Nothobranchius furzeri: one gene and its partner. The protein of the gene in region 2 interacts with the protein of the main gene of each other region in a biochemical or structural test. Links are inferred from orthologs where the notes say so. Each region holds a gene or a part of one and is shown on either strand. Other genes may lie near its edges.

Region 1 (3,651 bases), on a different chromosome or scaffold from region 2:
GCCCAAGCCACCTAAACCGGCTCCTCTTAATGTGGAGGAGCAGCGGGTCTACTCATAACCCCTCCCAGATGACCAAGCTTCTCACCCTACCTCTAAGGGAGAACCCAGCCACCCTGTGGAGAACGCTCATTTCAGCCACTTGTATCTGCAATCTCGTTCTTTCGGTCTCTACCCAAAGCTCATGACCCTAGGTGAGCGTTGGAACGGAGATGACCGGTAAATCTAGAGCTTTGCCTTCAGGCTCAGCTCTTACTTCACGGTACAACACCCGTATCACTGCAGACGCAGTGTTATTAGAACATTATTATTAATAAATAATAATAAATTATAAATGTGCAGGCTTATAACTGAAAGGCCTGCTAAGACTGTAAAAATAACCCTTTATGCACCAGAGTGGCGATATTGCGTTTAACGAGCCACAGCTGCAAATATTATCCTTCATGAAGTTATTACTTTACACCAGAATATAGTGGAGATGTGTAAATTCAATCTGAGCAACACTTTTGGGTGTTTCTATTGAGATTTTCAGAGTTTATAGAGTTTGAAAACTGCCTCTCGTCTGGACGAATATTATTATTTATTAGAGAGGAGAAACTTGCAATGCTGACAAGTCTGCTCTTTGCCTAGTAATGGCTGACTCTGATTCTGATTTTGAAGAGTAATATTCATCCTCTGATGATGATATTCACTCATCCACTGAGGAAGAAGGTGGCATTGCTGCTACGCGCATCAACAGTCTGTGGGCTTCATGTGGATCACACATGATCCAAAGCTTATTTCACCATGTTCAGGACATGGTGATGTAGAAAGGATGCTAAAAACATTGCTAACAAATGTAGTGGGAATGTAAAAGAAGGGAAAATGGCCAGGCAGATGTGGTAGATGTGAAACTGAAAGTAAAAAGTGTGTTACGTAATTGATATGAACATGCCAGCGATCGTAATAAAACAGCATTACTAAATGGGGGGGAAACTTTACTTTAGGAATCGGCACAAATTGACAATTTTTATGAAGCAGAAAGAAACTAAAACAGGGTTCGCCTGACAGCCTCTTTTGGCTTTGTTGTTTCGACGATGTAGGTGTTTTGGCCAAAAATTGAAAATGCTCTTTTGGGTCATTTTCGGTCGATAATTTTCGGTGCATCTCTAGTTTTTATCTCAACGGAGATCCTTTGTCTTTCACACGTTGTTTGAACATGTACGTCTGTTTAAGGATGTGGAACAACCTTTCAACAATTTCCTTTAATTGGACTCACCTGAAAAACTAATGATCACAGGTGTCTAAGGTTGTTTTCAGTGATCCAAAGAGCCCTGAGCTGTAGTAAGAGTTTAAATGAGAAACAAAAAATCATGCCATCAAAAGAAATTTTAAAAAGTAATCATTTGGAACGCAGCATTTTTTAGTTCAGGCTCTGAATTTGTTGACTACATCCCCACTGGGAATGTTTGTGAGACACGTCACGGAGAATGGAGGGTCACGCTAGAAAGCTGCGCCCCTCTGAGCAGGAAGTGCGACAAATAAATCAAAAGTTGATTGTTTTTAAGGTGTGAGGGTTTTCTGTGGTTTTATGATGATGTGTCTGGACTCAGTCTCTCCTCTTGTCTTCCTCCTAAGGACTCCTGGCGTCTCTACAGAGCACCCTCAGCAACCCCAACCTGCAGTCGTCACTAAGCAACCCCAACATCCAATCATCACTCAGCAGTCATTCTTTTTCCAACTCTCTAAGCTCCGCCTCCCTGCAGTCGTCGCTAAGCAACCCATCACTGCAGTCATCACTCAGCTCCTCCCCCTCCCTGCCGTCCTCCCTCAGCAGCCAATCACTGCACTCGTCCCTCAGTAACTCCTCCCTCCAGTCTGGCAATAGCTATAGCGGAGTGGGCGGGGTAGGTTCAGGCTCCTACACACCAATGCTCACTGGTCAGGGCCAGCCATCACTCAGCACGTCGCCACGGAGACGAGCCCAGCTGTTACCCCTCATCCTGCCTGTGGGAGGAGAGTCACGGAGGCATCACTCCAAACAGTTCTCCCCCACCATCTCCCCCACTCTGTCCTCCATATCTCAGGTAAGAACACACCTGCAGTTTGGTTTAAATCTCAGCTCAGAGCTGGAATTTTTATTGAATTTAATGTTCTGGTTTCCATAGAAACCATGTAATGCCACCGGTCACTTTGAGTTGCACGTGTATTTTCTTCAACCCTATCACCTGCTTTAGCCACAGGAAGGAAAAAGACGGGAAAAGAATGGGGTCAGAAAAAGCCCGTCTCTTCTACGTCACATGGACTATTAGCTTCCATGGCCCCGCCCACCTGGGCTTCTACCTGGTACAGGAGGCACTACAGGACAGCAGATTAATTTCTAACTGTTTATTGCAACTTCAAGCATTATGTTCATCACCATGAATGTTTTGCTATTTTAGGAGAAAGTGAAAGTTTACATTCAGATGTTGCCAACGATCAGGAAGCAGTAGTTGTTCTATTTCCTCTTCGTTCTCTGAGTCAGGATCACATAAATGAGCTTATCAGTAAAGACATTAGCGTCGGATTACCAGTGATGGGCAAGTTACTTCTAAACTGTAATGCATTATTTATTACTTGTTACCCTCATTTTAAAGTAATTCATTACATTACAGTATTACTGATTTTAAAATGTACGGCATTACACTACTTTTGCATTACTTTAAGTTACTTTCACCAAAACAGCTTCAATATGAATCTGGTAATCTGACGCTCAGTGAGCTCATCATGACATACATGTGGAAAGTGATGTGGTGTCTGAGCTAGGATTGCTGTTAAAAACTGTCAGATATAATAACAGTGCTTTAAAATGATTGTTTATTAAATAAAAGCAACAACAATCTGTACTCTCAGCACGCTGCCATCTTATGTTATCTGAGCAGGGAGTGAGGTGGTGGGGGCTCCAAGCCTATATTTACCTTGGTCCCCAAATGCCTTGATACGGCCCTGGATGTGGGACTGACTTCTGGGGTGATCTGATTCTATCACATGTATAAATATTAAATGCTTATGTGTATTATTGCTTTTCACTGGTAAAAATGTGTATTGGGGATAAATCTGCCTACTTTTTTCTTTTCAAGCACTTTGTTTTGTTTTCTTTATTTCATTTGAATAATTTCCGGCCCTTTCTCTCTAACCTTCCTGCATGCTGCATGTTTTCACCGTCTTCCAGAAAAACTGTTTCTTAGATTTCCTACTTTCTACCTGATCAGCCAAAGGGATCTACCAAACTAAAAAAAAAAAAAAAGCTCAATATGCGCTGCGCTCCAGCAGCAATGAGTTGAAATCACCGGGGCACAGATTATGAACTCAGCTGAAAAGTACATGAAGTACCAGAGAATATGGGCTGATATAAACGATCGCAAACGAATTACTTTGTTGTGGTGGAGCGATTTTGTGAATATAACAGCGGCCGCGCACAGGACGAAGCTGGAGTATTTGAGCCATTACCGCTGCATCCTCTCTGCTCATAGAATGCCCACAAAGCTGAGTCCATAAATGATGTCATATATGTGGATACAGGATCTTTTTTCAGGCTTCCTGCAAATTGAATTTTTAGGAAACCCACATCTTGATTCTGGGTTTTAAAATGCATTGTAATTACTGCGTTACTGACAATTGTACCGAGTAAATATT
Region 2 (3,651 bases):
GTGAGATCTGAAACTACAATTTGTGGATTATGTTGTAGTTTACAGTGTTTACAGCTTGTTTTTCTCATCTTTAATGTGGGTGGACCCGTCTCATGGCTCCAGCTCGGTCCTTTACCTCGATAGTCTTGTGCTGGTCGATGCCGAGGCTGTGCATGAGGCGAAGCACCTGTTCGCTGTACTCTCCCACACCTGTCTCGCCCTCAGTGGACAGAGACTGTTGGTAAAGGACTGGTCTCTGCACGGGGACGTCCAGCAGCATCCACTTGTGCTCCTTGATCTGGGCCAGAGACAGACGCTTGGACGGGTCCAGAACCAACATCCTGCGGATCAGATGCTCACAGTCTGCAAAGAGAAGGGTGAGCTTCTGTGATTTCAGAAACATCTTCTAATTAGCATCGATGGAGCAGAAATTACACTTCAAGGACGTAAAAGCTGACATTCCTTTCTTATTTGCTCCTGCCGTCACTTGTGAACAGCATGAACACTCTTTTCTACTTTCCCTCCCTTGCTAATGAGAGCTGCTCACCTCTAGTTAGAGGCTTGATGAGTTTGACGTCAGACACAGCTGGGATCTTAACGGGATTACAGTTCCTGCGGCTGCAGCGCTGCGACATGGCTGCACCCTGCATTCTTGCCCACTCACTCCACTGCTGCCGTCTTAAAGCAAAACAAGTGGGGTCTGGAGAACACGGGCTGTGTAACATCCCCCAATCGTCTTCATATCACCTTGTATTAGTCTCAAAGACCAAAACTGGGGTTCCAAGTTAAATAACCATGAAACGTCTTGATTTTCCACTAACTGAGTAAAAACCGAGCAGCTGACATTAACACCCTGCTGCACATTCTTCAACTCACAGCGCTGATCTACTAACAGCATTTTACTTCTAAGTAATGCTTGTTTTCCTATTTTTGTTGTACTTTCACTTCACACCGTGGCCTACAAGCAGCGAGAGCTGCTGAGGCAAAAGCAGCTCCTAACAAGAGTTTAACACCCGTACACCTGGCTTGACCCAGAACGTCGTCACACTTCGGTCTGGTCACAGCTGAGGCTGAACTCTCTTAACCAGGAAGGAGCGGACTCCGTGAAGCCGCGTGGCTGGCTCACTGATTGACAGGCTGTTCTTAGAAAGAACTTTACACCGCCGTGAGTTAAACACAAAACCATCCCACTGAACACGAGTATCGCTCCAGTGGTGTAGAGTTGCAGTGTGTCCTCCAGGAAGGGGGCAGCAGCAGCAGCAGCAGGAGTGAGTTAAAAGTGCAAATTTTTCATTGCACAATGTGGATTTAAAAGAATTCACACAAATTGCAGCTTTAAAACAAAACTGCGGACAGGAAAAAGAAGTAATCAAGCTCGAAACGGATGTAGACTATGACATTTGGGGTTAATAAATCCGGAGTAAACAGTGATCGGAAGCTCCAGTGAGAGTCTACGGTGCAAGGCTGTGTTAGCGGCGAGATCAACGTGAAGAAATGAGGTGGAACGTTTCTGGATGAAGAAATCAGCACACTCTGTTCTCCAAGTTCAGGGAACGAGGGTTGGACCTGGAGTCTGATCCAAGTGCTGATACTACACTTTTACATTCGCTGCCAAATAAATAAACTAAAAAACGTCCTCGCCACACCCTGAGTGGAGACATCAGATTCCTAGAGAGACACGGACTGACAGGAGGACGTCTCACACAATGGGAGTATGACTCAAACAGAATCACCAAGCCTTCTGAGAGGGACGGACGGACGAGCAGCTGGAGGGCTTCGCTGGCTCTTTCCCAGGTTACATAAACAGCTCCAGCTCTGGACTTAATCTCCAGCCAGCAAGCAGGAATGAATGCAATCAGCAGGGATGCTGCGAGACACCCAGTTAACCTGACTGACTCTCCAGCCTGCGTGCACACACAACCCCTCCAACAAAAATTGCAGCCGACACCGACGGGAGTGCTCCGTACTGCATTCCCTTTAAATTAGCACAAAGCTCTACGGGTAACAACTGTGGTGCTGCACGAGAGCCGACCAGCAAAGGCACTTGAAACATGATGTTTTTATATGCAGAGTGAGGGTGCATTTATAAGACTGTAAAGTGGCGGGGTGAGGTTTTGGACTTGATTTCATTATCTTCATGTGTGTTTTAAATCCCAGATCAAAGACCGTGTCTCCTCACCTTCAGTCATGAAGTAGGGGATGCGAAACCTTCCTTCCAGGACTCTCTGTCGGAGCACAGGCAGCGTGGGCCCATCAAAGGGCAACGCACCACACACCAGCACATACAGCACCACCCCCATACTCTAGAAACCACACACACACACGCAGGGAGCAAAGTCAGGGCAGAAACACTCCATAAATCAACCACAGACTGGTGAAAGTTCAACTTCCTGTAGGAGTTTTTTGATCTTTAAGCAATCAGACATCTTACCCAGATGTCCAGCTGCGGGCCCTCGTACTGTTGTCCTTCAAAGACTTCAGGAGCTGCGTAAGGCGGGCTGCCGCACCATGTGGCCAGAGGCTCTCCAGGCTGGAAGAAGTTCCCAAATCCAAAATCTACACAGGGTCAAAGAGCAGAGGCAAGCAGATTGAAGACACAAAAGTCAGATTATATAATAAAAGCTCAGAAAGAGACACAGCTCTACAGTAGTTGCTGCAAAAACAGAAACAAATAAACAGCTAAAAGTGTCAAACGTTTCAAAGATGATGTGCAGAATGAATGAAGTGCACTGATCAGGAACGTCTGCATGGAGGGTTTGTGTATCGCAGCTTAAGATCCACATTTTTGCACATTGAAGAAATGGATCTTTGTATGAGGCAACCTCCCCTGGAGACTGACATGAGGTCATCAGTGCTGGGCTCCGATTGGCCGTCTGCAGAACGACAGACTTTACATTTTCGTCTTCAGAGAAGAGACGGTGAGAAGAAGCTCAAAAACACACGCAGACGTCAATTTTTATTTAAATCCAATATGTGAGTTAAACAATGGGAAATCACTGAGAGCATTCACCAAACCCAGTTATTATCACACCACCTTCACTCCTTTTCTCATCTTTTTTGTTAGAATTTATCTGATTTAAGGATGATTATCTTTCCATTTCGTCCAGTTCAGAAATGAAAATAAATGTTATCCCTTCAGCTTTTAAAGCTGCTACAGCAAATCCACAGAACAAGCTAGGTTTTGAACACGGTCACAGAACACACACCCCACCCCTAGATGCTTCTGCCAGAATCAGAAACCCACGTTGCCAGAGAAAACAAGATGGTGCTAAACACCAGTCACTGTTTACTAGGTCCAAGAGTCTTTTGTTTTCCGTAAATTCAAACGGTGTTTTGCTTTTTGGGACTCTGGTAGTATGTCCTGAAGTTGAAGTGGTAGCAGCCGGCTGTTTCTTCTTCTCTGATATTATTGAGTGGAGAACCTGACACCAGTGGTGTTCTGTTGTAAATACGCAAGTTTTCGTCCCCTCCACAATGTATTTACAGCTATACTATATTAGAACATTAAGAGGCAAGAAAAATAATGTTTTAAGCTAATATTTTCCAAATTTGCTGTAGCAGCTTTAATGCTGGTTATTTGTATTTACCTGCAGTTGTGTTAAAAAAAAAGAAGAAGAAAAATACCATATTTAGTAATTTATCAATGGGATGGTGTCATGGGACTAGACAGCT

The links.
Region 1: of the proteins of sik2b (region 2) and CREB-regulated transcription coactivator 2, one has a biochemical effect on the other in vitro, tested with the Homo sapiens proteins (2 studies listed by BioGRID). The link is inferred for Nothobranchius furzeri from reciprocal best matches to the Homo sapiens genes SIK2 and CRTC2.

Annotation. Positions count from the first base shown.
Region 1 is NC_091745.1:59,165,693-59,169,343, reverse strand, and holds part of CREB-regulated transcription coactivator 2, read left to right. Parts: intron 1-1,614; coding exon 1,615-2,063; intron 2,064-3,651. UniProt on the Homo sapiens protein: Transcriptional coactivator for CREB1 which activates transcription through both consensus and variant cAMP response element (CRE) sites.
Region 2 is NC_091753.1:40,077,175-40,080,825, reverse strand, and holds part of sik2b (serine/threonine-protein kinase SIK2), read right to left. Parts: intron 2,536-3,651; coding exon 2,411-2,535; intron 2,283-2,410; coding exon 2,159-2,282; intron 343-2,158; coding exon 116-342; intron 1-115. UniProt on the Homo sapiens protein: Serine/threonine-protein kinase that plays a role in many biological processes such as fatty acid oxidation, autophagy, immune response or glucose metabolism.